Lonchura striata: one gene and its partner. The protein of the gene in region 1 purifies or fractionates together with the protein of each later gene. This does not show direct contact. Links are inferred from orthologs where the notes say so. Each region holds a gene or a part of one and is shown on either strand. Other genes may lie near its edges.

Region 1 (12,697 bases):
CTGCCGGGCGCCGCGGCTCAGCAGCAGCACGGCGCCCGTGTGCCGGTACCGGGGCGCGCCCGTCACCACCGTCACCGCGTCCCGCTGCAGCACCGCGCTGCCCGCCTCGGCCGTGTACCCTGCGGGCGCCGCGTCAGGGAGGGACCCCGGGGTGCCCCCGCGTCCTCCCCGAGCCCCCCGCGCCCCGGGCGAGCACCGGGAACGGCTCACACCCTCCCCAAGGGTCCTCAGGTGTCCCCAGGTGTCACCAAGTGTCACCAAGGGTCCCCAAGTGTCACTAAGTGTCCCTAAGTGTCCCCAAGTGTTCCCAAGTGTCACTGACTGTCCCCAAGTGTCCCCAAGTGTCCCCAAGTGTCACTGACCTTCCCTAAGTGTCACTAAGTGTCTCTAAGTGTCCCCAAATGTCACTAACTGTCCCTAAGTGTCCCTAAGTGTCCCTAAGTGTCCCCAGCGTCTTTGACATCCACGCCCAATACTCCCAGCTCCCAAAGCTCCTCCTCACCCCAAATCACCCTCCCCATCTTCTCCCTCCGTGCCCGACGTCACCCCAATGCCACCACTGCCCCCCAGTCTCACCATCCCACATCCCAGCGGGGTCTTCAAGGCTCCCTGAGTCCCCCCCACCCCCAGCGTTCCCCCTAAACCCCCCACCCAAACCCCTGCCGGGGTCCCCCCCACCTATGTAGGTGTTGCCGTTCCTCTTGTTGGGGTAGGAGAAGTCGTGCAGGTCCCACGAGTCCCGCTGGAGCATGTAATCCGTGCCTGGAACGGTGAGGGGGGTCACCCACAGCCTTGGGGGGTCCCACGGGGGCACGGGCACCTCGAGAAGGGGGTCCCAAGGGGCCACAGACCCCCTGGGCAAGGAAGCGTCCCCAGAGGTGAGGGGAACCCCAGGAAAAGGGGTGCCAGAGGGGTGACCCCAGGGCTGGCAGGTGCCCCCCAGGAAAAGGGGTGCCAGAGGGGTGACCCCAGGGCTGGCAGGTGCCCCCCAGGAAAAGGGGTGCCAGAGGGGTGACCCCAGGGCTGGCAGATGCCCCCCAGGAAAAGGGGTGCCAGAGGGGTGACCCCAGGGCTGGCAGGTGCCCCCCGTGCCCCCCAGGACCCTCACCCTGCCAGTTGTAGGCGCCGGGCGCCCCGAAGTAGATGATGTTGGCGCCGAAGCCGGCGCTGGTGCCCATCTGGCACATGCCGGTCTCGTCGGTGTCGGTGTTGGCGTTGCACATCTCGTTGTGGTACGTCTGCCACTCGTCGGCCAGGTCCAGGCGCAGGTCGTTGCCCCGCACATAGCAGCGGCCGACCATGCGGCGCTGCGCCTCCGCGCCCGACCACAGCACCCGCGTGTAGCGGTGGGCACAGGCCTGGCACGGGGACAGGGACAGGGACAGGGACAGCTCAGGGACACATCAGGGACTGACCACAGCACCCGCGTGTAGCGGTGGGCACAGGCCTGGCACGTGGACAGGGACAAGGACAGGCACAGCTCAGGGACACATCAGGGACTGACCACAGCACCCGCGTGTAGCGGTGGGCACAGGCCTGGGGACAGCAGGGACACTGAGGCTCAGGGGACATCCCAAATGTGGAGGGACACCCCAAGGGTGTGTGTGTGTGCAAGGAACAGGGATCTGGGTGTGCAAGGATCTGGGTGTGCAAAGAACAGGGATCTGGGTGTGCAAGGATCTGGGTGTGTAAGGAACAGGGATCTGGGTGTGCAAGGAATGGGGATCTGGGCGTGCAAAGCCCCTGACTCACCAGGACCCTCCCCGGCGGCTGCCGCTGGCTGGCCACTGTCACCCCCAGCCACATGTCCTCGATGATGGCCTTGTCGGGCTCATCTGCGGGGGAAGAGCCGGCCTGAGAGGGGGTCCCCACGCCCGGGGGGGGTTTTGGGGTGGTCACACACCCCGGGGGGGGCACCCACCCTTGAGCTCGATGGGCAGGCGCTGGCAGTCGCGGGTGGCAGCGCTCAGGGGACAGGCGTACACGGCGCCCGTGCGCGTCCCGTTCACCGGCTCCGCGTCCCGGGGGGCCCCCACCAGCAGCCTGGGGGGCACGAAGGGGGCACCTGGTGGGTGATGGGGGGAGCAGGTCCCACCCCCCAGACCCCTCCGACTCATTTTGGGGTGCAGAGAGGGTGGGTGGTCTGGGGAGGGGACACTTGGGGGACACCGGAGCTGCTTGCCCAGAGTTTGTCACACCCTGACACCCCCAAATAACGAGGTCAGCCCCGTCTCCAGAGCTGGAAGGGGACACAGGGACCCCAAACGGCCTCAGGGACAGACGGATGGAGTCACCCCACTCTTCCCAGACTCCATCCCATGGCTGAGCCCCATCCCCATGCACGGGGGGTGGGAAGAGGGGTCACAGTGACCCCCCCAAACCTCGCTGTGCTGGCGGGGAAAAGGAGAGGGAGGGGGGGGCTCAGCACCCCCAGGACAGCCCCGGCCCTTCCCGGCCAGGCTCTGATCCATCCCCAGCCCCGGCACAGCTGCGGCGTGTCCGGCCGACAGCACCGAGTGCCGCGCCAGGGAACGCGGGGACAGAGCCCCGGGAGCGGGGAGCTGGGACAGACACCCCGAATCTGGGATGGATCCCCTCATCTGGGATGGATTCCCAAATCTGGGATGGATCCCCTCATCTGGGATGGATTCCCAAATCTGGGACGGACACCCGAATCTGGGATGGATCCCCTCATCTGGGATGGATCCCTGAATCTGGGATGGATTCCCAAATCTGGGACGGACACCCCGAGTCTGGGATGGATCCCTGAATCTGGGATGGATCCCTGAATCTGGGATGGATTCCCGAATCTGGGATGGATCCCCGAGTCTGGGATGGATCCCCGAATCTGGGATGGATCCCCTCATCTGGGATGGATTCCCAAATCTGGGACGGACACCCGAATCTGGGATGGATCCCCTCATCTGGGATGGATTCCCAAATCTGGGACGGACACCCGAATCTGGGATGGATCCCCTCATCTGGGATGGATTCCCAAATCTGGGACGGACACCCGAATCTGGGATGGATCCCCGAATCTGGGATGGATCCCTGAATCTGGGATGGACACCCGAATCTGGGATGGACACCCGAATCTGGGATGGACACCTCTCATCTGGGATGGATCCCCTCATCTGGGATGGACACCCGAATCTGGGATGGACACCCCGAATCTGGGATGGACACCTCTCATCTGGGATGGACACCCTTAATCCAGGACAAACACCCCTCACCCCGCACAGACACCCCTCAGACACCCCTGACCCCGGCTGTCCCAGGACAGGCAGCACCTCCCAGGGGTGACCTCCCCCAGGAAGGGCAGTGCCATGGGGGACATCGGCATTCCAGGCTGGATGTGCCCCCCAACCCCTTCAGCTGATGCTAAAGGGACCCCCCCACCCCAAAGGAAGATGCTGGGGAGCCCGGCAAGGCCCCGTGGCCCTGGCATGGGGAGCTGGCATGGCTGGAGGGCTCCGGAAGGGCCGGACTTTCCGCCGGGAAGTCCTTGGGGAGCGCCAGGACAATGGCGTGGAGGTGGCCGTGCTGGGGAGGAAGTGACTCCCTCTGGCAGGCGGGACACTCGGGGGGACACGGCACCCAGGACATGGAGTGGGACATGGCACAGAGGACATGGCACCCAGGACACTGGGGGACATGGGGGGGATACGACACCTGGGACATGGAGGGGGACATGGGGGGGGGGGGGGGACACAGCACCCAGGACATGAGAGGGACATGGCACCCAGGACATGGAGGGGGACATGGCACAGAGGACATGGCACAGGACGTGGAGAGGACACAGCACACAGGACACGGCACCCAGGACATGGCACCCAGGACATGAAGGGGACAGGGCACCCAGAGATGCTCACTGGTGTAACGAGCTGGCCAGTCCTCAGCAGGGCCACCAGCGAGGACAGGGCCAAACGCCGCCGTGCCCATCCCCGCGGTGCCCATCACAGCAGCGGCGGACGGGGCCAAACGCCGCCGCGCCCGCTCGCCCGTTCCCCCGGCAGCGCCGGCGGGCAGGGAGTGCCGGGAAGCCGAGCAATGCGCGGCCGGCAGCGCGGGCACGTCCGGGCGGGCCGGGCGCTGACTCAAAGCCCAGGCGCAGGAGGAATGCGGGGCCGCGGGCAGCCCCCGCCCCGGCACGCCGGGACCCCCCCGGGGCGGCTGAGTCAGCCCGGGGCTGCAGGTGGGGGGGGCTGGCACCGCTCAGCCCAAAGGGGGGTCCGGGGGGCTGCTCCCCGCAGGAATGCCAGGATGGGGGTGCCGCAAAGCCGCTGGGCAGGGAAGGGAGCCAGGGGGGTGATGGCTCGCGGTGATGCCAGCTCGGCACGCAGGAATCTGCCCCCCACCCCAGCTGCAAGGGGGGGGCACAGGGGCACCATTGTCGCCTCTTACCTGGGGGGGAAGTGACTCAGGGCGGCTGCTGTGACTCAGAGCTGGGGGGGTGCTGCCCCCACACCCCGAACCCCACCGGGACCTGCAGCCCCGGGGGTGCCCCCAGGCTCCCCCGGTGGTCCCGGCCCGGCCGGACCCCGCCGTCCCCGCGGGTCCCGGGGGGCGGGAGCCCACCCAAGCCAAGCAGCTCCGGCACGCCGCTGCCTCCAGCCAAGATTCCCGGCACGGCAGCCCACCCGCAGCTCCGCTCCTGGGAGAGGAGGGGTGCGGGGCTTTCCAAAACAGGGGGGGCACCCAGGGGCGGCCCCCGCCCCGCTGTGAGCCAGGGGGCCACGGGCCCGCGGCTGCCCGGGGCAGCGAGCCGGGATTCTGGAGGGGCCGGGACCAGTTTGTGGCGCTGGTCCCAGTGGGCTGCGGGGACGGGAGCTGGGGCTGTGCTCGGCATGGTCAGAGAGCGGCACGAGGGGGAGGCCGGGACGGGAGGGAAGCAGGAATGTGAGGCCGTGCTCCGTCCTAATCCGCCTTGGCAAGCGTGGGGGGGCTGGATGGAGCGGGGGGAGCTCCCTGCCAGCGCTGGCTCCGCTGGGAGCGGGGGCTGTGGGAAGCTCCGGGCACCAGGACCCCAAACTGCGGCCCCCCCTGCGGTGGGAGTGGCGAGGATGGCAGAGAATCCCACCCGGACACCTCAGCACGGTCTGGAACAGGGGGGTCGTGCACCCCCCGAGGCCCCCAGCCCCAGAACCCCCTCCCCAGGGAGCAGCTGGGCAGCGAGGGGAGCTCCTCATCCATCTTCGCCAGGAGCCGGGAGGAGAGGAGCAGGCGGGGGGAGCCCGGCCCGCCCCCAGCTTGTCCCCAGTGCCGCTGTGTTTGTCATGGGGGTCCCTGGGCAGGAAATCCACCGGGACCCCTCTGGGAAGGAGCCGGGAGTGGGGGGACAGCTCCGGGAGGGATGGATGGACGGACGGACGGACGGGCGGATGGATGGATGGATGGATGGATGATGGATGGATGGACGGACGGAGGGATGGGTGGATGGATGGACAGACGGCCCCACATCCGTCCCCCTCCTCCTGCCGAGCAGCCGCAGCCCCGCAGGACCCCGGCGGATTCGGGCCAAGGCAGGGGGAGCTCAGCCAGCTCCAGCAATCCGCAACAGCCCGGCCGGGGGGAGGGAAAGCCGGGAACGCAGCCAGGAGAGCGCTCTCCTCAGCAGCCAGCTGGAATCAGGAAGACCCCCGAGCCCCGGGCAGAGCCCCAGTTCCCAGAGGGCTGCAGATGTGGGTGCTGCCTCCCCTCTGGCTGAAGATTTTGGGAGGGTGGGTGTCCTCAGCTTTCCTGGAACGGATCTCCCGTGCCTCAGTTTCCCCAGGTCACCCGGGGACCTCCAAACCCACCTGGGCCGGGCCGAGCGGCTCCGGCAGCCAAAAGCGGCTCCGGGTGGGAGCGGCCGGACGCGGACGGCCCGAGGAGCTCCGTAATCTCGGCTGATAAGAGCCCCGCTCCCAGCCGCGCTCACCTGGCCCGGGAGGAGCGAGCAAACAAACCTTTGCATGGCACAGCTCCGCGGGGCGCGCTCGGCTCGGCGGGGGCGGAACCGGGGGGCTCCGGCATCGCCCCGGCCCCGCCGCGCCCACCCGGGACTTCGGGGATGCCGGCGCTGCCCCGGAGCATCCCAGCAGCCAGGGCAGCAGCCAGCCCCCCAAAAAAGCACGGGACCCCCCGTCCCGAGTGGCACACGGGGCAGGGCGGGGGCAGGAAGCGTCGCTTTCCTGTCCCCACCCTGCACCTGCGAGCGGAGGGCGCCGCCGCCTTCGCCCGGCACCGGGCCGCGGGTGCGACCCCGGGGGGCTCCGGGGGTCCCCCAGCGCCGGCCGCACCCCGGGGCGGCTCCGACGCCCCGAAGCGGGGAGAGAACGGCGCGCTGCTCCCCGCGGAGGCTCCCGGGGACGGGCCGTGGGTGCCCGGGGGGGTTCCGGCTCCGAAGCCGCTCCCCGCCGCCGGCGGAGCCTCCGCGCCCCGCCGGGATCGCGCTGGGACACGCTGGGACACGCGGCGCAGGTGCGGGGGTGGCGGGTCCCTGTCACGGCCCCCCCAAAACCTCCCCCGGGGCCGTTCCCGACCTGTCCCGGTGCCAGCCGCGACCCCCGCCCGGAGCCCCCCGGCTGCGGGGCCACCGGAGCGGGCAGGACCGGGCCGCGGGGGCAGGGGGTCTCCCGCACCCCTCCCGGGGCTCCGCGGGAACGGCTCCGCTCCCTCCGGCACGGGAGCAACAACAGCTCCTCATCCCACGGCCCCAAATGCATCCCTGGAATGCGGAGCGGCACATGCCTGCACGGGCAGCTGCCGCCGGCCCCCCGGGACAAACGGGGTCCCGGGGGGTCCCGGGGGTCTCCAAAAGCCCCCCCCCCTCGCAGCCGGGAGAGCCGCGGGAAGGTGATCCAGCAAAATCCCGTGCCCTTCAGGGGGACAAAGCCAGCCCAGCCCCTGCGGCGGGGCTCTCTCCCGGCACGGACGGGAATTCCCGGCCAGGCGGGACCGGGGCCGGGGAGCGGGGCGGTCCGGGACAGCGGGGTACCCCGGGGGACAGCGGGGGACACAGCGAGTGACAGCGGTGCGACGGCACGGGGGCTGCTCCGGCTGAAAAGGGCTTTTGTTGGGGCTTTGCCCGGCAGCAGGAACCACAGCCCAACAGGTTCCCGGGCACGGGGCCCCGCCGGCACCGGCGGAGCTCGGGGGGAGCTCGGGGGGCTCCGCCACCGCCCCGCTGAGGGTTGGCGCCGGCCGGGACCGCTCGGCTGGGAAGGGATCCCCCACCCCGAGGGGCTCCGAGCGCACCTGGGGGGACACGGGGTGACCCCACGCTGCTGCCAGACGCCCCCCCGTGTCACCGGGACCCCGCGGTGGGCGCGCAGCACGCGGGGGATGAGGAGGGGGCTCGGGGTGGGACCCCCAGCACCCCCGGGGGACCCTCCGTGCCACAGGGACCCCGCCCCACGTGGGACCCCCATCCCAACGGGGGACCCTCCCCGCTCTGCCCCACCCCACGGGGGATCCGCACCCCACGGGGACCCCAACCCTAACGGGGACCACTCTGAGCGCCTCCGCCCCGCACGGGGAACCCCGCATTTCACGGAGACGCCCCCGCTGACAGGTAAAGCGCTGCCTCACTCTCCTCGGCCTCACGGGGGTCCCAACCACCGGAGACGCCCCGGATCCTCCCGGGGACCCCCCGCACCCCCACGGGGGACCCCTCCCGGTTCTTCCCCGTCCCAACCCTCCCCCCCCACTCAGGTGAACCTCGCCTCGCTCTCCCGCTCCGCACGGGGAGCGCAGCCGGGCCCCCCCCACTGCACGGGGCTCGCCCCCCGCCCCCCGGCCGCGCTCACAGGCTCCGCTCCCGCCGCTCCGTCTCCCGGTGCAGCGCTACCGAGAAGCCGAACAAGGCTCCGGCGGGGCCCTCCTTGAGCACGGGGAAGGTGCGGTCCAGGTTGAAGGCGGCGGCGGCGCCGAGCAGCACCGGGCCGAGCCCCAGCAGCAGCCCCGGCAGGGGCGGCGGCAGCAGCCGGCGGCGCCGCGCCATGTCCCGCACCGGCCGCCGTACCCGCCCTGCCGCCCCACCGGGACCGGTGCGCGGGGGGCGGGGCCGGGCGGGGCCGGGGCGGGGCCGCGGCGCTTCCGGACACGCCCCTTAAAGGGGCCGCGCACCCCGCGGGCACCTGCGCGCTCAGGTGCGCGGGGCAGGGGGGGGCGGGCGCACCTGGGCAGCCGCAGCTGCGTCACCCCCGCCGGGGGTCGCGGGGCTCGGACCCCGCCCCCTGCCAGACCCCCCGAGTGCCCCCCTCCCCAGTGCCCCCTCCCCAGTGCCCCCTCCCCACGCCCCCGCGGGACAATTCCCCCCATTCCTCCCGCCCTAATCCCCCCGGGGTAGGACCCCCCTACCTGGCACCTCTTTGGGATGGGACCCCCCGGCATGGGACCCCCCCAGGAGAGAGGGGACCCCCGGGACGAGACCCCCCCCATGTCAGGAGGTCATACCGGGACCCCGGGAGCGGCACCGGGGCGGGGCCGGGCCGTGGGACAGCCCCGCCCCCGCGGGGACAGGGAGGGGACCCGGCGGGGACATGGCAGCATCGCCGCTTCCCTGCCGGGGGCGGCGGCCGCGGCTGTCACCGTCCCGACCCCGGCAAAGGTCACCGGGAGCCGCCGCGCCGCTCCCACCGGGCCGGGAAATCCGGGCCGGGCTGGCCTGGGGGGGCTGCAGGATGTCCGGTGTCCCCCGCCCGATGTCCCCGTGCCCCTGTGCCGTGTCACCGGCACTGGAAAGAGTGACGGCAACGGCGACATCGCGGGCAGCGCTGCCGGCAGCGGCAACCGGCCCTGGCGCGGGGACCTCCCTGTCCCCACCCTTGTCCCCATCCGCTGTCCCCTGTAGCCTGTCCCCTGTCCCCAACCCCTGTCTCCAATCCCCCATCCCCTGTCCCCATCCTCTGTCCCCTGTACCCTGCTTCGTGTCCCCATCCCCTGTCCCTTGTCCCCAGTCCTGTGTTGCCCAAATCTCCTATCCCCATCCCCTGTCCCCATCCCCTGTGCCCATTCCCTGTCCCCTGTCCCAAATCCCCCGTCCCCTATCCCCAAACCCCTGTCCCCCTGTCCCTATCCCATGTCCCTTGTTCCCAATCCTCTGTCCCCAAAATCCCGTCCCCATTCCCTGTCCCTTGTCCCCATCCCCTGTCCCAAATCCCGTGTCCCCCCAATCCTCTGTCCTCATCCCCTGTCCCCAAATCCCCTGTCCCCAATCCTCTGTCCCCCTGTCCCTTGTCCCCATCCCCCGGCCCCGCCCGCAGTGACACCGATGACGTCACCCCGCGGTGTCATTGCCCCCAAAGGCCACGAGGTGGCGCCATTGACCCAAAGATGCTCGGGGGGGGTGGGGAGGGGGTTGGGGCGCTCGGGGACCCCCCAAGCCCAACCCCCGCGGCTGTGACAGGGCCGGGGGGACACGCGGGGACTCCCGGGGACCCTGCCGGGCTCCGGGACCCCCCCGGCCTTTTTGGGGGACATGCGGAGGAAACCCTTCAGCCTTGGGGGGTCACGGGGGGGTTGTAGGGGTGTTGGGGGGTACCCCCAGCCCTGTGGGGGACCCTCGTGGGGGACTGGCCGGACCCTGTGCTCAGCCCTGTCCGTGGAACCCCCCAAAGACCTTCGGGTGCCCCAGAACAGCGATTTCAGCCCCCCCAAACTGCCCCCCCAGCCCCTCCCCAGCCCTGAGCTCCCGCATTTGGGGTTCCACAGGCTCGGCAGCCCCAGAGCTCCCAGCCCCAGACTGGTCGGGGACTGGCCGGACCCGCTCCCCCTCCAGCCCCGCTCCGCGCTGCCCTCCCCGGCCTCCAGCCCCACAACCGGCTTTTCCTGCCGCAGCGCCGCTCCCGGCGGGGCCCGGCCCTGGCGACAGCGCGGCGGGAGGGCGACAGCCAGGCTGGGGGCCTGCGGATGTCCCAGCGGCTCCGGGGACCCTGGGAACCTCCCCGGGAACCCCGGCGCAGCTCCCAGGGCTGGGCTGGGCTGCTCCCAGACACTTCTGTCCCCTCGGAATGAATTCCTGGAATCCCCAGCTACAATTCCCACGTGGGAAGCGAGGCAGTGCTGTTCTCCCGGCTCCGGGGTCACGCTCGGCCTCCTGCAGAGGCCCCTGCTTCCCTTGGGCATTCATCCCTGCTCTCTTTATTTCTGCTTCTATTATTTCCATTTATGTCTGTTTCTATTTCTATTACTTCTATTTCTGTTTGTCCTTTTCCTGTTCTAGCTCTTATTGCTATTCCTATTAATTCCTATTCCTACTTCTAATCCCATTCCTACTTCTAATCCTATTCCTACTAATTTTCCTGTTCTTATTCCTCTTTCTATGCATTCCTATTCCTATTTATCCGGGTTCCTATTCTTATTCCTATTGCGATTTATTCCTGTTCCTACATCCATTCCTGTTCCCATTCCTGTTCCCGTTCTCATTCCCATTCCCTCTCCTTTCCCATTCTCCATTTTTCTCCCTCTTTCCCCGCAGTCCAGCGGTTCCGGCGGTGCCGGGACTCGAACCCGCGATCGCCGGGGCTCTGCGCAGTTCCCGCCGTGGCCGCCAGGCGGAGCCGTTGCCCCGCGCCGCGGGCCGGGCCGGGGGGGACCCGGGGGGCACCGCGGGGACAATGCGGGGAGGGGGGACACCACACACAGGGGACAGGAGGGGACACACAGGGGACAGGAGGGGACAGCCCCGCCCGGGCCACGGACCCAGACCCCTCCCAGCCCCCGGTTCTTGTCAGGGGAAGTTCCTGCCCGCAGAAGCAGAGACCCCTCCCCAAAAATAAACCCACCCCTTTCAAAGTCCCCCTCCCCGGTTCTGGGGCGGTGGGGACAGCCCGGCGGGTGGCCTGGGGGGGGACCAGGGCTGGCCCGCGACCCCCGGCTGGGTCATGCTGCTGGGGGTCCTTGGGGCAGCACAGGGGTCACAGCTCTGAGTGGGGGTGAGAGAAGGGCACAGACCCCCGGGGGGTGTCCCCCAAAATCGGGGCTTGTCGCTGCCCCGAGGTGCCGCCAGTTGGGGGTACGGGAGGATCCTCTGGGGGGGCTCTGCCTGGGGGTGGTGTTGGACTGGAGGACGCTGCTGGGAGAAGGGGGGAGCAGGGGAGAAGTCGGGGGGCCGTAAACAAACCCCTAAAACCCCCAGCCCCAAGCACGGATCCATCCCCATCCTAAATCCCAACACTCTTTCCCTGCCTCACAACAAACAAACTCAAACACTCCTCAAAAAAATCCCCCCACAACCCCAAAATCCCCTTGTAAACAGCCCTGTCCTGTCCCCCACAGTGTCCCCTGTGTCCCCGGGACACCCCTCCTGCAGGCAGGACCCTGCACACTTTATTTACTCCCTCACCCTCCTTCACCCACTCTTTGTTGTTTCTTGAGAGAGAGAAGGAAAAAAAAAAAAAAAAAAAGAAGGGAGAGAGGAAAAAAAAAAAAACCCACACAGGAGGAGGCAGGAGCCTATTTTGCCTCCCAGGCAATATTTCTGGAGCCAATCGGAATGCGCACCCACCCTGCCCTGCTCCCTAATTAAAGGCTTTAAGCAGGCGGCCGGGGCCGGAGGTTTGGGCACAGTCTCTCGGTGGCTCCTCGCGAAGCAGCCGCAGCGCCGGATCCCGCTCGGGGCACGCCAGGCCGCGGCCGCCGCCAGGTTGGGGGGTCCCCGGCGCGGGCAGGCAGCCGCCCCCTCCCCGCTGCCAGCCATGAGCGGCTCTTTCGATAAGAAGCTCTCCAGCATCCTGACGGACCTCTCGGGCTCGCTGAGCTGCCACGCAGCCTCCAAGGACTCTCCCACCCTGCCGGAGTCCTCGGTCACCGACCTGGGCTACTACACGGGCCAGCACGACTACTACCCGGGCCAGTCGTACGGGCAGCCCGTGGGCCACTACCCCTACCCCCAGTTCAACCTGAACGGCATCGGCGCCGCCGGCACCTACTCGCCCAAATCCGAGTATTCCTACAGCCCTTCGTACCGCCAGTACGGGCACTTCAGGGAGCAGCAGCTCCCGCCGCAGGAGGCAGGTACGGATGGAGCGGGGCACCGGGAGCGTGCCCGCCCCGCCGCTCCCGCGGGGTGCCGGGGGGGCTTGGTGCGGCTTTAACCCCCGGGCTTTGTGGGGGTAAACCCCCCGGGCTTTGTGGGGGTAAACCCCCCGGGCTTTGTGGGATTTTACCCCCCGGGCTTTGTGGGGTTGTGTCCCTCGGGGTGTCCCCGGTCTTTGTGGGGTTTTAACCCCCCGATCTTTGTGGGGTTGTGCCGCTCGGGGTGTCCCCGATCTTTGTGGGACTTTAACCCACCCCTCCGCCCCCGATTTTTGTGAGGTTTTAGCTCCTCGGAGTGTCCCCGATCTTTGTGGGGTTTTAACCCCCCTGTTTTTATGGGGTTTTACCCCTGGGAATGTCCCCGATCTTTGTAGGATTGTGCCCCTCCGGGCTGGGGGCAGGGGGCTGCTGGCGGCTGTGGGGGCTCAGCCGTTCCCGTGGGGACGGCTCCGTGCTGGATGCAGAGTCCGGGACGTGTCCCGGGGGGGTCCCAGAGGTTGTCGCAGGGGACGGGGCGCTGCCAGCACCCCGAGCGGGGTGACACCGGGCTGGGGACGGGTGACACCGAGCTAGAGACGGGTGACACCAGGCTGGGGAAGGGGTGACACCGAGCTAGAGACGGGTGACACCGAGCTAGGGATGGGTGACACCGAGCTGGGGAAGGGGTGACACCGAG
Region 2 (16,757 bases), on another chromosome or scaffold:
CCTTCTGTGATCTGAAGAGGCTAGCCCTCCTTCCCCCAGAAGGAGCTTTCACAGATTTTATCAAAGCAGCTAAAATATTTTTAGAAACTAAGAATACCTAGTCTAGCTCTCAAAAAGTACACCTTCAGCTATTTCAAGGCATTTCTGAAGAGGAAATTATTCCCCCCTGCATCAGTTATACTAATTATTATCATCTTTCCCCCTCAGTATTATAGTCATGCACAGAATAAACATAATTTCAAATTTAGTAACAAACTGAACAAGATGACTCCTTAAATCAAACCCAAAGGATTTTAACTGTGTCAATGCAAAAATAACTATAATAATATAGTGGTGCTTATTTGCAACCTCTTTAACTTCTCAGGTGGTGATTTATTGCAAAAAATATTACAAGAGTTGAGATAAGAAAACAAACAGAACTTCAAACTTAGAGAATGCAAAGCTACCTCCTTGCAAAAGTGAAAAAAAATCCAGGAATGCACATACCATTTCTCAGGAGGCTTTCAGCCCTCCCTTCATTTGATTGCTATAAAAGGGATTATCTTCAATTATGCTCTATCTTGACCCTTGTTTTTATCCACCAGGTTCATCAGAGGTTTAATCAAAGGAGATTGTGGCACTGCAGTTGTTAGTTATTAATTTAGCTGTTAAATTTAAACCTACCTATGGGTTCACCAAACAATCAAAAGTCCAATAGCTTTACTCCCCAATAAGAAAGCTTCACATACCATGCCAGCAGAGAACATAGGTAGAGCAAGAGCCTTTACAGGAAGATTTTCAGTTTAACTCGAAGTTGAGAGAAGAAACACAAAGCTAAGGCTTTAAAAACATCCCTTAATCTCTGAAAAAAATCTTCCCAAGAAAACAAACCTTCCTGAGGGACACCACAGGGTAGATGCGAGCCCAGCTCCCTTCAGGAGGGTTTAAGTAATCATCAGTTAATTAATGGTGATTTGAAGCACCTGGAGAAGTGTGGACTTCATTTCAAGGCAGTGTGATTCATAACAAGAAACACATGAGAGTAATTGTAAGCTATAGTACAGTAAAGTAAATATAAACATGTTTACTATACTATAAATGTATTTATTTTACTCTACCCACCACATCTTGTCTTTGAGGAGAGGATATTACCTTGCCCCTGATGGTATCATATGGAAAAGGGAAAGCATGTTCAGCAACATGTTTCTTCTTGAATATCATGCTTAGTTGCTGGATTTAATGAAAATACACTCACTGACAGAACACTGAGCAATCAGCTCAAATTTGGTGTGACCTCCCTTGTCTACACTGAATCACAACATCCAGAGTTTCTCCATCTTGGCTTTTACTATTTACCTTTGGCCTATTCTAAAGAGCAGCCCCAATACATTATGTATTTCTTTTCCATGCTATTTGCTGAACTCTTAAGATTTTTTTCCAGGAAAGATGGGAGTTGTTTCCATTTTACAAAACTTGAAATTCACAGATTGATTGTAGCAGCCCTATTTCTCACTTCTGCCCTGGAAGACACAGACTGGTTTGCCTCAAGCAGGTCTTGATGATCTATGCTTCTCTGTTTCCATCACTGAAATAAATAAATGCCCAAGGAAGCACATGCAGCACAAGAATCAAAGCAGAGGGATTTCAGATGGCAAGATCACATCCATCACCTGTACAAAGCATCCTGCAAGAGCTTCCCAGATGATTAACATTTGACAACAGCAATTGTGATTGCTGAAAGGCTATGAAGTGCTGAGAGCAGAGAAGGTATCCATCCTATCATGCTTTTCATAGCAGCTGGAGCTAAATAAATTACATAACATGTTGCATATACTCACTGGAGGCCTGCCCACTGCACTTTGCCCTCCCCTCTGACAGCATTAGACACCAACAGATGTAAAAATGGCAAGGCTGTGTGACATTGGCATTAGTCACCAAAGCTTGAGAAGATACTCAAGTACCTCCTGGTCATTTCAGAGATGAACGTTCACCTGACTTTAAAAGAGGGGCCCACAAAAAGCACACTTTGTCAGCTGATTTTCAGCATGTCAGATAGGTGAGATGGTATACAAGCCTCCCTTCATTAAAAGATAAGCTGCAGTCCAACACCACTGGCAATTAAAGCCCTGCTAAGAGTTTTCTTATGGGTAAGAACAGCCAGCCTCCTGTGACACCAGCTGGGGTGACCCATCCACTGAGGTCTAAAGCAGCACTTCCCACCTGCAAACCCTGAATATCATTCCAGGTCTGCAGGAAAAAATGTATGAAGTATAAAAAGAGATGCTGGTGGAAAGAGGAAGTGACTTTTTCACAGGCTTCCCAAGCTATGGAGCAATCTGTGGTGGGGTCAGCAGGAAATGACCAGAGACCTCACAAAGACACAAAGAGTCTGTAACCAGAAATATTTGGAAACCCTATTCTTGCTCATCTGACCATCTCACAGAAGGTCCTGAAGTCGATGACCTCACTAGAATGGCAAAAAATAGACAGTTCATTTTGAAATATACTTCCATACCATTTTTTTTTCTCAGGGAACTCACATGACATCTTAAGAACCAACAGCTTCAAAGGAACAATATTCAATACTGCAACTTCTACTCAGCAATATTTCCTCCTCTGTTCTCAAAACAGTTAGAAAAAACTGAAGGGAGAAAAGGAAAACCACCAAGAAGAATTTAAGAACTGGATTGGAATGGGGAGGGTAAGGAATAAGAAAGAAAAATTAATAGAATGAAACACAAAGTTCAATCCTACAAGCAGCTATATTTTAAGTCACACACTTTAGGCCATGCATAGCTGCTTTAATTACCAAAGAGTGAAATACAAGCTTAAACCCAAATCCATGTTTGGAAAATGAAGTTGAAAACAAACCCAGAAAGCAAAATCAACCTTATCCAGTTCAACACTATTAGACCTGTGTTGGAATATATGCTTGGATTAGCTCCCACACATAAGTGCTAGTTCAGAATTAAAAATTCTTTGTCTTCACCTGCAAGTGCTATGTAGTTACTCAGAAATAAAATCCTCTCCCTTGCAGACAGGGAGGAGGTTACTCTGTGACAACTTATTTAAAATAGCCACTAAATAATTAACTCCTGCTAATTTTCAGTGAAGACAGAGATTAAGGAGCTTTTTTTGTGAGCCAAAACAGATCCTAATATTAAACCATTCCTGCAGAAATTGAAAAGAATCTGGTGATTTTTTTTTTTTTATTAATTTTCATGTATGACTTCTTGGGGGTTTGGATAATTTTTTTAGTTCTTGGCATTTGCATAAAGTAAGCTTATTTTCTTTCTGAGAGGACAGGAGGAAAAATGTCCTCAAACACTTTTGCTTAACTGAAAAATTGGGGGGAAACATTCCCCCTTTCTCCATTGTTGGATATAATTACTTTTCCTGCTTTTTAAATTGACTGAAAAGTAACTCCAGCATTTCAAAGATCAGTCCATAACTAATGTTTCTAGCTAGGTATGGAAAATATTTATAGTTATACATACAAAGGATTTATAAATACAGTTGAGACTCTGCCAGAGTGTTCAGATTACTTTGCACCAAAAATTTAAATTGTAAAATTCTTAATGGATCCATGAATCTGATTAAAAATAATATCTTGACAATTTCCTAGTCATCCACCTGACAGCACTGGGTAGGACAGCCTGAGAAGCCGCCTAACCTGTGCTCTGTGGATCCATGAAACTGGGACTGCCGGGGAATAAGAGGAAAATACCTGGAAATCCACCTCTGGCTGGAACAGAACAAAGACCAGAAATAGTTTCAGATTTGGGAGCATTGTTACTAAGCACATTTAGGAGGCATTTGGACAGCACCCTTAATACCATGCTTTAATTTTTGGTTAGCCCTGAAGTACTCAGACTAGATGGTGGTTGTATGTTCCTTATAAATGAAATATTCTCTTTATTCTGCTCTATTCTATTCTATTCTATTCTATCCTATTCTATTCCTTTGAAGAGGGAAATAAAAGCATCTAGAGACTGCTAAGACTGTTACCTGTGGCTTTCTTGGCTGTCAGACATAGACCTAAAGCCATCTCACTTTTTCCTGATGCTGCCTGCATTTCTCTCTCACATGTGCTAGAAAAACCAGGATTATTTTTCCACAACAGTCAGATCTGAGCCTCACACACCTGATTTTTAATCTTCCACCTATAAAGGTTTGCCCTAAGTCCCCACACACATCACAGGGCTGTATTGTGGCAAGGGAGATGCGTCACATCAAGGGGCCCTGTGCTCAAGGACCTGCCCAACCTGCCAGCACCTCCCTCGACAGCAGCCACAGCCTGTGGCCCCACTCGTGTCCCCTGCTCCTAAAATAACTTCACCCACACAGAAAAGTCTGACACATGCAGACAACATAGCAGTTAAATGAATCACCCTTGGAGTAACTCGTGTTACAGCCATGATTTCCAAACAGGCACTTTGCAATCTTGCAGAGTCGCAGCATTTGTTTGGTAAAGCTTTGGTCTCCCGTCCTCCAGTCACGAGCCTGCTCTCACACTGAAACCAGGTGCAAGCACTGCTATCTGCAGCATGGGGGGCTGAAATGGTGATTTACCTTGAAAAGGAGTGGGCCGCACTTCCAGTGATGTCCAACTGCTGTTGTGAGAAATTAAAGGGCATCCAGACTATTTTTTGGATTTCACAACAATTAAAAAAGCAAGTGTGCTTCCTTCTCCCTAAGTAATGATGACATACTCCACATCCCAGGATGGTTCAGGCTGGGACCACTGTGGGTCACTGGTGCCACCTCCCTACTCCAGCAGGGCCATCCCAGAGCACAGGGCACAGGATTGTGTCCAAAGGAGTCTGGGATATCCCCAGTGAGGAGACTCCCCAGCCTCTCTGGACAATCTGCTCAGGCTGGGTCCCTGCCCAGGACAGAAGTTCTGCCTCCTGCCCAGGTGGAACCTCCTGGCATCAATTCCTGTCCATTCCCTCTTGTCCTATTGCCCAGCACAACCAAGCAGAGCCTGGTTCCATCCTTTTATCACCCTTCCTTCCTGAAGGAGTCTATTTTCATCACTGGTAATAGTAAGGATGTCTGAATTCTTTTGAATGGATGCTTTGTGGAATTTTTGGAATTTTTGCTTTTTATCCCATGCATTTTATCTCAAAATGTGAAAATTATAACTGATTACAAAACAATTTCATAAAGGTTCTTAAGTTCACATTGAGGTTTTCCAGTAAAATGATAACCAATTATGAAACAATTTTGTATGGGTTCCTAAGTTCATATTGAGATTTTCCAGTTGCTCTCCTGACATTATCACTACTCATGCATCATACACAAATGTCTTATGCCAAATATTTGCAAGGATGTGCCCAAATCTCTTCTAAACTTCTTCAAATCTCAGATTTAAAAAAAAAAAAAAAAAAAAAAAAAATTAAGAAGTCTGGCTTTGTGTTTTCACTTCCAGATACACCTCCAGTTATAGCAGAAGACCAATTTCTAATGAAATCCCCCAGGGCTTTGTAGTTTCTTCAAAGCCTTTCTCTCGTGGCAGAAAGCAGACACATTTCTAGGATGTACAGATTTACTCCCAGCATGAGTTCTTCCAGAATCTATCTGCTATGGATACCAAACACCAAACACATTTTTACCAGCACTGGAAAAAAAGGACAATGCCTTCCACATAATGCTATCAGCATGAGTGACTCTGTGAGTCATTTTTGCAGTGACTCATTCCATTTTGCAATGGAATGCCAGTCTTGACTCTCCAGCTCCAAGACCAGCCTCTCGCTCACAGCCTCAGATGTGGAAGGAACCACTCACCCATCACCATTCCAAAATATTCCTGTGTTGAAATAAACCAAAGTACCTTAAAATTAGTTTGGAAAGGTGAGACCAGAAGTAAGGCAGTTAGTGTTATTTTCCATGGACAAGCTCAAGAGTTTAGGATGACCCAGATGACATCAGCATAGGATCTGTGACTTCCTATTTCCTCCTTCCTCTCAAAATCCATCCCCAACTCCCTGACAGCAGAGAACTGTGTTTGTACAGCCTCACTGTTCACCAGACAGACAGATCCAGCCCAGCATCACAGTCCCTGCTAAAAAAAAACCCAATCACTGAAGCTAAAAAGCAAGCAAAACAACCTTCAGGTTTTTAATTTTGTGACTGGCTTGGGCAGTCAAAGATGTAACTTTTCTACAAAGAACAAAATGTTGTTGTTGTATTTCTCCTTTAACTGACACTCAAAAAATTTGTTAATCCCTGTCCTTTGGTGGGGAAAGCCTTGTACTTTATCTCTCTGCAGTTCCCACCGTTTATGCCTGGCTTTTTAAGGGAGCTAAAACCTTTTAAAAGACCTGGAACTGTTTATGCAAAGAAGGTTAAAGGCCTCAAGCCAGTTGACACTAGTCCTTCCAAATATTCTTAAGGCAGGGATATCAGGAAAACAGGTCAAGGAGGCAGGGAATTCTGCAGTTCTTACCAGAGAATCCCACCATCCTTAAATACAGTCAGGAGAGAAACCCCTCCTCTCCTTTGCCTTCCTATATTAATCAAAGGATCAGGGTCCTTTGGATTGTGCAGTCTGAGGAGAAAATCTTTCCTGGCGAGAAGCAAATGCTTCTCCTCTTCACTATTGGCCCAAACATGACATTCAGTTTCACATTTAAATAGGATAAAATAACTCAGCCTACCTGTAGAGAAAAGTTCTACAGATAGTTAGTGCTGGGTCTAGATTGTTGAAAGTGTAATTTTAAAAGGCTTCTGGTAAACTCTGATTGGTTGTTTGTTTTTTTTTTTTTTTTGTTAGTAATATCCTGAATTTGCTTTTCTCTGTGCCAGGACAAAATAACTCTTTAACCACCCAGGGTAATTTTAAGTGCAGATAATAAATATTTCATGTAAAATGCCTATTATCCCATGCAAATACAAAGTGTCAAAATAATAAATCAGTGTGAAGTACTTCTACAAGGGTCATTAACTTCCTTTAGTGATTTCTATTATGCAGAAATTCAGTTGATTACTATCTCATTCCACTAGTTAGAGAAGTTCAGGTGTGGTCAGAGAATTGCATCTACCAGATCGTTACACCCTGGAAGAGTGAAACATAAATGTTCTCGCCAGATACTTTGTATGGAATGGAAAAAAAAAAAAAAACAAACAAGAACAAAAAAAAAAAAAAAAAACCAAAAAAAAACCAAAAAAAAACCCCACAAAAAAAAATCCAAGCCACAGCATTATTTTCCTTCCATATTCTCAAGAATACTGAAGATGTACAAACACATTTTACTTCCTCATAACTTAATTTGCCAGGTGAATGGGGAGTGTTTAATTTTTTTTCAAATGCACAGGAGGTTTTTATTGAACAGGTCCATTTCTTGCCTCTGATCAAAAGGTTACTGCCCATGAATTTTAAAGAAAGTTGTTTTAACGCAATATTAGCATAAGAAGCTTAATAATACAAAGCTAGGAGGGAAATTATCCAAAGTTCTTCTGTGATCCTTAATTTTAGAAACTTAAGGGAAGCTATATTACTGATGCTACCTAACAGCATAAATCTTAATGGCAAAGTGACAAAAGAAAACCAACCCAGAAGATACACAGAAAACCTTGCTCAGTTACCAGGAGAGTTTAGTCACATACATTTGTTAACTCCATCCTTTCTGGATCATTATTGTTGTGGCCGGCCTCCATCCCTCTGCTTCTCTTTATTTTATAGGAAAGGTATTCCTGATTTTCAGCATGTCAGATAGGTGAGATGGTATACAAGCCCCCTTTCATTAAAAGATAAGCTGCAGTCCAACACCACTGGCAATTAAAGCCCTGCTAAGAGTTTTCTTATGGGTAAGAACAGCCAGCCTCCTGTGACACCAGCTGGGGTGACCCATCCACTGAGGTCTAAAGCAGCACTTCCCACCTGCAAACCCTGAATATCATTCCAGGTCTGCAGGAAAAAATGTATGAAGTATAAAAAGAGATGCTGGTGGAAAGAGGAAGTGACTTTTTCACAGGCTTCCCAAGCTATGGAGCAATCTGTGGTGGGGTCAGCAGGAAATGACCAGAGACCTCACAAAGACACAAAGAGTCTGTAACCAGAAATATTTGGAAACCCTATTCTTGCTCATCTGACCATCTCACAGAAGGTCCTGAAGTCAATGACCTCACTAAAGTGGCAAAAAATAGACAGCTCATTTTGAAATATACTTCCATACCATTTTTTTTTCTCAGGGACCTCACATGACATCTTAAGAACCAACAGCTTCAAAGGAACAATATTCAATACTGCAACTTCTACTCAGCAATATTTCCTCCTCCGTTCTCAAAACAGTTAGAAAAAACTGAAGGGAGAAAAGGAAAACCACCAAGAGGAATTTAAGAACTGCATTGGAGTGGGGAGGGTAAGGAATAAGAAAGAAAAATCAATAGAATGAAACACAAATTTCAATCCTACAAGCAGCTATTTTTTAACTAACAGCATAAATTCTTAATGGGAAAGTGTCAAAAGAAAACCAACCCAGAAGTTACACAGAAAACCTTGCTCAGTTTCCAGTTACCATGAGAGTTTAGTCACATGCATTTGTTAACTTCATCCTTTCTGCATCTATATTGTTGTGGCCTCCATCCCTCTGCTTCCCTTTATTTTATAGGAAAGGTATTCCTGATTTGTAACCTGCTCTGGGAAGCAGCTGCCCAAGCCAGCATCTCCCCCTCCGTATTGCCTCTGGAATGTGCTGTATCTTATCCTTTATTTTGGCAACAAAAACTCCAATATGTTTTTATTTGCATTTCAGCATGGCTTTTCTGTTTTTACTGTTCTGTTTGGGTGTTTTTTTGACTCTCAATACCTGATTAATTTCTAATCCCACTGTATGAAATTAAGGTACAAGCCCTCAGTTTTCACCCCTGAGCTAAGAGGCTCAGATGCTGAGTGCAGAACACCCTGTTACGATGAAAGGGAAATTCTTAGTTGAAATTTACCTTGTTTTTTCTCACAACTGGGATGACCTAAGAGCACGTGTGCAACCAGCTACCATGGATCAGTTGGTAGGCTGAAACTTACCCGCCTTATTTTCCTAAAGTGGATGTTTGTAATTTCATACAAAGTTATATTTGAAGACATATTTGAAATATTAAAGGAATTGAACTACGCTGTAAGTTTATCTTGTGTGAGAAAACATCCATTTAAGCTAGATGGATTCATTTTAAACTAAACATCCAGCAGAGGCCACAAAGGTGATGAGGGCTCTGGACCATCTCTGCAGGAGCTGGGCCTGATTATTAAGAGGAGTCAGAAAGGGGATCTCATTAATGCATATAAATAACTCAAAGCAGGTGTCAAGAGGATGGTGCCGGACTCTCTTCTGTGGTGCCCAGCGACAGGACAGGGAGCAATGGCCATAAACTAAAACAAGAAGTTCCACCACAAGACGAGGAAGAGTTTCTTTACGATAAGGGTGGCAGAGCACCGCAACAGGCTGCCTAGGGAGGGCGTGTGGATTCTTTTCTCTCAGGACACATTCCAAACCCACCTGGAAACATTCCTGTGTCGCCTGCTCTGGGTGACGCTGCCTTGGTTGGACTGGGTGACCTACAGAGGTCCCTTCCAGCCCTAAGGGTTCTGAGATCTGTACCAAAAGCAGGCCGGACTGGGGTGGTGGGCTGGATTATACATTAGGAGGAAGTTTTGCACCCAGAGGGCGGCGGTGGGGCACTGAGCGGGCTCTCCAGGGAATGGCCACAACCCCAACCCTGCCAGGGTGGGATCGCAGAGGCGGCGCCGCGCAGGGCCGGCAGCGGGACCCCGACGTTCCCGGGGCTTCCCCTCCATGCCGGGACATTTCCGAGCCCCAAGGCTGGCGGGGCCCGGCCCCGTGTGGCGCTGCCGGAGCCCGCCCGGCCTGGGGCGGAGAGGGGCGGCCGCAGGTGCGGGGCGCGGCCGGGGGCGGCCCCGGGGGCGGGCAGGGGAGTCCCCGAGCGGCCCGGGCAGGGCCGCATTTAAGGAGCGGCGTCGGAGCGCGGCAGCCTGGTGACCGCGCCCGCAGCCGCCACCATGCCCGTCAAAGGAGGCACCAAGTGCATCAAGTACCTGCTCTTCGGCTTCAACTTCATCTTCTGGGTGAGGCGCCCCGGGCTGCGTCCCCCGCGCTGCCCGGCGAGGAGCCCGCGGGACGGGGATGGAGGGGACGCGCCGGGAGCCGCGTTTGGTTTGGTTTTTTGATGCCTGTTTTTTGCTGGTTTCTCCACTTGCTGCCCCCCGCCGGAAGGAGAGGGAGCGGGTGCCGGCGTGCTCACCGCTTTATTTTTCACGTTTTTGGGGTTTTATCGAAAGGCGGGTTGAGGGCGCTGCCAGGCGGGGAGGGGGTGCTGGGTTTGTGCAATTCTGCTCCCACTGTGCATCCCCAGCACTGCACACAATCCTCTCCCTAAAACTGTGCGCAGGTCGGGCTCCCTGCCGGCTTTCCCGGTGCCGGGGCTGAGCCCGAGGTGAGCCGGCTCCTCGCAAGTTGTCGTGTGTGTGAGCTCCTCGTTGTCGGTGGGAGCTGTGGCTTCCCTTCGGGTTTAATCTCCTGGAGCAGACCGGCACCCCTCGAATCGCGTCTCCGGTGTGGTTCCTGGCCGGCGTGAGAAAGCATGGCTGAGCCGAGAGGTTGGAGCTGTCCTCAAGCCCTCGGGGCGTGGGCACCTCGATTTAGCGCTGGCTCCTGCGTGGAAAATTACTGCGGGAGCCGCTCGTATGCCTGACGGATAGGAGCAAAGTGTGTGGCTTCAAAAGCTGCGTCTTCTCTCGGCTGTTGGCCGCGGTGTGGCTGTGATGTGGAGGAATGAAGTTGGAGCTGCGGGAAGAAGCCGCGTCTGGAGTCAGTCGCAGCACTGCCCGTGGGACGAGTGGAAGTTGCCGTGTTAATAATGGGCGAAGTGCTCGGGATGTCTCGATGCCGAAATGGGTTGCAGCAGAGTTGAGAATACACAGCTGGGCTGCAGTTGAGGGAAGCTGTGCAAAACTTGACCCAAAAAAGCATATTTTGCCACCCGGGACTCGCCAGCAGCGCTGTCGCATTTGCAGGGTTAGAGCTGATCAGAAGGAAAAGCCTAATAAAACATTGTCTGAAACTTACATTCAAGTGAGTTTCTAAACCTGTTAAACGAGACTGAAGTACTCGTGGTTTGCCTTGTTTTTGTTTGTTTATTTCAAAGCCGTAGACTTTCTGCAGAGTATTTTATGGGACAAAAATTCTTGTTGTGGCAACGGCATTGCCTCAAAGAAGCTTTTAACCTGAGCTTCACCAGCTTGTCTAGGGACCAGGGCTGAGAATAGGGAGAGAGTTTTTGTTTAGCTCGGGATCTACTTGTCGCTTGGGAGTGTCATGATCATGAAGTGCTCAGGCTTTACTTCTACCTTTAGGGGTGCTCGCGAATACAGAATTGTACTGGTGACGGGGTGGATGGAAGGAGAGTGGTGCTGCTGCCCAGAGGAGCTGCGAGATGATGGCTTTTCAAGTTGGCTTCTTGAGGCTAGCAGTATGCAGCTAGGATGTGGGAAAGAGAAGAGGAAGAAAAAAGGAATTAAAAGGAGATAAATGCATCTTGGTGATCCCAGTAAGTGTCTGGAGGCCCCAAGAGGCAGTGAGATGCAAGCAGCTTGGTTCAGCCAGAGATAAGGGAGTGTTTGACCAGCTGGAGTGATCCTTGGTTTGTGGGGACCACCACATGTCATTGTGGCCTGCTGAAAACAGTTGAAGGGGAGTTTAGGGGGTATGGTGTTAGCAAACCTTGTGTCCTCTATGGAGAAATAAAGTAGCTGTATCTTGGGTTATTCCATATTGAACAGCATAAAAAGAAAGGTGTTGTGGAGCTGCCAGCATTAAAAGGCAAGAACCACCCTAATAAGAAAAAAGGCTGTAATGTTTTATTATGGCTTTGCAGATGTGAAAAATCTGTGAAGTAATGGAAGTGTGTTAACAAAACTTGTTGTGCTCAAGTGCGATTCTGTACCTCTGTTTTTTGAAATAAGTTGCCTCAAAAGGATAGGTCAGGAATTTCAGTGGTCTGCAGCAACCCTGCACAGAAGGCTGTGGGTGCCACGTTAGGTGGAATGTACTTGCTTCCATCAGAGGCTTGAACAAGGGTAAGAGGAAGTAGAAAGTCTCAAACAACTTGGTAAAGGAAGCTATTGAAATAAAAATTGAAACTTTCAAATTTGAAGCTGTATGCAAAGGAAGGAAATAAAGGTTCATAAATGCTGCTAATGTTAGCCAAAGGAAAGCTTTAGGAGTAATTTGCAAAAGCAAACCCAAGTAACATACCCCTTCTCAGACACATGAGGAAAAGAGTTTCTCAGGGAGTTCTTCCAGACAGTAATGGCTCCAGGTATAAAAGTTTTGGGAGTGATGTTCAGCAGGACTTTATTTTACTGGGGAAGATTTTCACAGAGTTCTGTGCCATAACCTGTCTTTGACTCTGAATCCTGCACAGGCTTGAACTGACCTTTTGATGCAAAGGAAGTGAAACAGGAGGAGCAGCAAATGTTTGATTAACAATTCTCCAAGGTCACACAACACTTCAGAACATTTAAGTGAGTTGTGATTAGGTAACTCCCCCTGCCTACCATCCCTTCTCTGAGCTGGAATGCAACGAATTGGAGGCTGGGTTTTTGCTTTAGGGTAGTCTGGAGCACACAGGGAGTAGCACACATGGACTATCTGGAGAGAAGATTCCTTAAAAGCTGGTGTACATGTACAGGAGTGACTAGCTACTGCAAGGGGAAGTCAGACTTCATGAAGATGCTGCCTTAGAGCAGAAGCCTGAATGTTGGAGAAGGCGAGGACTGGTTGGCGTTGGTTCACTTGTTCAATATCTCCTGGAAATCTCAGGCCTCTTGTGCAAACCAGGCAGTCCTGGAGTAAGATCCTGGCAAGAATGAGGTAGATGGGTATTGGAGTGGAGGCAGGGCTGTGGTGAGGTGCAGCTCTGCTATTGCAGAGAGAAGCACTGTGCTGGTCAGTATAGCCCCACCTCATCTGAAGAAGAACAGAGGGTACTGCTGGGGTGCTAGCTGGCACCCGTCGTCCAGGGTGATGGAGGTGATAACTGCCAGCTGTCAGAACAGGGTGTGTGACTCTAAACAAAGGCAGGCATCAGGTAATTCCCATGGAAGGCACCAGCAGAAGCTGCCTGGAGATAGGAACTAAATGCTATCAGCTGCTGCCATGGAGCAGTGAAGCCTTGGGAGAAAAGAATCTATGATGTCTTTACAAAAGCACCAGGTGAGTGCTCAGTGTCAACAGAGCAAAACCAGCTTCAGAAATGAAGGACTGAGAGAAGATAGAATATGGTGCGTAAAGCTCCCAAAATCAATGGCATGCTGGTGTCCCACAGTCCTGCAGGCTGCTCTGGTCATCTGCCTGCCTTGAGAGGATCACAGAGAAACTTGGTAATGTTTGGAAAAGAAAGAGGACTGTTTCTGTCATCAGCAATTCTATCTTCAGCATGGAAATGTGCTAGAAATCCTTAGGATCATGATTGTTCAGGCACTAGGTAGGGCCTGACTGTATTGAAAGGGGCAGTGAGCAAGAGCTGTGGGATATTAAGCCAGGAAAGAGGACATTTTTGGAAGGAAAGTGTCACTGTGGGGATAGTGGTGATGCTTTCTCCTCAGAGGGGTAGGTTGGTGAAGGGATAAGTGGTTAATCACAGAATTAATTAGGTTGGAAAAGACCTTTAAGATCATCTAGTCCAACCTGCTAATATGGAGTTCAGTAGCCTTTTGTTAATTTTTTCTTCTCTCAAGGTGCTGTTCATATCCTAGCACAATCTTTAAATGCTCAGCATGTAGCCCAGGAGGTTGGTCCTGGGAAATGCTACCTTCTTTCCTGTTTTCTTAACCCTTCCTGAAGATCTCGTGCTTGATTGATCTGATGGCCTTTCTCTAGCTGGGGAGGCTGGGCATTAACATGGCATTCTCTGAAACTTTTGGGGCTTCAGAGTTTGGCTTAAAATGTTCTTGTGGCCTAAATGGAAGGAAGGGGACATCTTTGGATGTTTGCACCAAGTCCAGTTAAGCATGGATCCATAAGTTTTGGGATTCAATCCTCTCTTTTGAGGGGTAGGAATTAGGGATGGCTGTGTTTCCTCTTGGGATGGAATGTTGCAGCAGGCTCCTTGCTGCTCTTGTGCTGTCCTTGCTGGGGCTGGTGTTCTCCCACCCATGTTTGCAAGCAGCTCTGCTGTCTTGGCATGGCCAGTGCTGGCCCTGGCATCCCTGACAGTCTGCTTTCTAATCATACAAGTTTGGGGGCTGTTTTGGCCTGTGGGAGGGAGGTGTCAAGCCTGATACAGAACTAAAATTTTTTTTCCCACCAGGCTGGCTTGAGCTTGGCAAGAAGTCAATGGAAACAACACATTTCATGCCTTAAACCTGAGCAGTGGAGTGGTCTTAGCAAAGTTGCCTTGGACCAACCTTAGTGTGAGCAATGCTGGATTGCTTTGAGTTGTGTGAGTGACTGCCTTTAGCTGTGCTCCCTTAACTCCTTGGGTTTGCTCAGGCTTGTTGGTCCTGGTGATGAAGTCTTTTCCTAGGAAAACTGTGGGCTTCTGAGCAACCTGGATCACACTAGGCAAATGCCTGCCTGTTCTCCCACTGCCTCCTGATGCTGAACAAAAGCAAGGACTTGCATTAATGCTGGGTTTTCCTCTTGTTAATTTTGTGGAATATGAAGATGTCTGCTGCTAATATTTATGGTTTAATGTATTTTAGGCAAGCAAGTGCTGTAGCACAGAGTTGATGCTGAAATTTTGAGCAGTCATTTTCTTGTTCCTTTTCACTATTGGGCAGCTCTCTTGCCCTGACTTCCTACTCTCCAGAGTGCTGCGTGTTTTATGAATAAATACATTTGTGTGTGGTAGTGCCTGCTGGAGTAAGATGAGCAGAATAAGGCCTGGAGAGCCCTTTTCCTTCTGTAGCTTGAAGATATCTGTGGTTTTGTTCTGAGCCCTAATCTCAGCTGTTTTTGTGCACCAACAACAGCAATTCAGAGGATCTTTCTTCCTCCAAGAGAGGACTTGCAGGATGGGCAGGGAAATATGCACGAGTCTCTTAGTATGTATATATGCAGGCACATGTGAAAACCCCAGAAATTAGTTGCTTTTGCTTTCTGTATAGAACTGGTGCAGTTGCTGGCTACAGTGTAAGAATCTAATGCTGCTTGGGCTCAGCTCAGTGTCTATTGACTCCAGTAAGTTCTGTGGAGTCAGGAATGGAGTTTGGAGTATGTTGCCTTGAGAAGCCTGATGTGAAGCTTCTTAGAGTTCCAGCAGTTCTGGCTCCTATTTGCAATTCTAATTGCAAATATAGTAGACTTACTTCTGAATAGGAACTTGTATGAAATGGGCACTAGTCTTGGCAGTGGTTCAGGAATTTTGTAATGCTGCTCCTACTGTACTGGAGCACCATTTTATTGCAAAAAGTGTTGTGGCATTAACATAGACCACAACATTCTTGAAACTAGCTAAGCAGAAAGAAAATACTTCCTTTCCAATCCACTTTTTTCCAAACTAGTTTGAAAATAGCTGCAGTTTCTTGTATAACTGCAAGCCCCCATTAGCACAAGTGTTTCAAAACTCTGAAAACCTGTGCTGCTGTGGATAACACTAATTCTGTAATTGAGGGTTTAGAGTGATGTTGAGCCTCACCTGTACTTACTGTTTATGCGTTTTTATTTATGGAGTACCAGCCAGTGAAAGGACAGAAACAGTTCATTACTACTCATAATGTTCTCAATTTCTTTGCATGTGCTTTGCAACGTTGTAGATCTGGTCCTAGCTTTCTTAGTTCAGTCTAAAACAGTAAGAAGTAAATTCTTATGCAGTCAGGTTTTTAGCTTAAAGTTCAAGTGTTTATCAAATGAAGATGGTGACTTTTTAATATCTTATTGTCACATCCTGTTGTAAACCCATATATGGAACAGTAGTGTTAAGCCTGACATACCATCTTACTTCAAGAAAAAAAAAGGTGTTCTGTTAGATGACAACACTGAAAATAGTATTTATTTTTGACTGACTTCTTTATTTTCACCTGATGATGTACCTTCTGCTAGAGGTAATGCCATGAGCATGGTAGAAGTTGTATGTAAACTTGGCCTGAAGGTGTCAAAATGGCAAAACCCACCTTTTTTTTTTTTTTTTTTTTTTTTTTTGTGCAAGGGCGTTTATTTTTACAGGCTTTGAGCCATTTATCAGGCGGTCTTGAACTGTCTGATTACTTCCCTATCCCTGCCTCCACCCTGTGGAAGTGCAGGAAGGGCTGGGGAAGGGTGTCCCCTTCCCAAAGCTTTGTCTGCTGGGACAAAGAACTGTCTGAGGACTTGGTAAGTGCTTGGACCTTGAGCTCCTTGAGAGGCAATTCCGCCTGTGGAAATATAAGATGCTCTAAGAGGTCTGAGGCAAATGGGCTGATTGTCCCTTAACAAGGGAACAAGGTCAGACGGGACTGAACAAAATGGTCCTTCCAAAATAGTGGTTAAATCAAAAATAAACTTCCTAGCTTTTCAAAATAGCGTCACACATTGTGCTGGTATGGGTTGTGTTAACACAATTGGTGTTTTGGATTTGTTTGGTTTTTTTGTTTGATTGGGGGTTTTTGTTGTTTGTTTTTTTTTTTTGTTTTGGTTTGGGGTTTTTTTGTGGTGGTTTTTGGTTTCTTTGTTTTGTTTTTTGTTTTGCTTTTTTTTTTTGGTGGTGGTGGTGGTTTTTTTTAAAAAAAAATCTCAAGGTTTTAAAATGTGTTTATGGCATTATTATTAAATATAAGGGTT

Evidence for each region.
Region 2: the proteins of ITGA3 (region 1) and CD9 purify together in Homo sapiens (affinity purification with western blotting; 3 studies listed by BioGRID and IntAct, with this or other methods). This does not show direct contact. The link is inferred for Lonchura striata from reciprocal best matches to the Homo sapiens genes ITGA3 and CD9.

Annotation. Positions count from the first base shown.
Region 1 is NC_134627.1:8,521,981-8,534,677, reverse strand, and holds the start of ITGA3 (integrin alpha-3), read right to left. Parts: upstream 7,987-12,697; 5' UTR 7,985-7,986; coding exon 7,791-7,984; intron 2,044-7,790; coding exon 1,922-2,043; intron 1,836-1,921; coding exon 1,753-1,835; intron 1,359-1,752; coding exon 1,109-1,358; intron 763-1,108; coding exon 679-762; intron 120-678; coding exon 1-119. Other genes in the region: NPEPPS (puromycin-sensitive aminopeptidase), read left to right, coding at 11,682-12,000.
Region 2 is NC_134607.1:3,685,019-3,701,775, reverse strand, and holds the start of CD9 (CD9 antigen), read left to right. Parts: upstream 1-9,931; 5' UTR 9,932-9,997; coding exon 9,998-10,063; intron 10,064-16,757. UniProt on the Homo sapiens protein: Integral membrane protein associated with integrins, which regulates different processes, such as sperm-egg fusion, platelet activation and aggregation, and cell adhesion.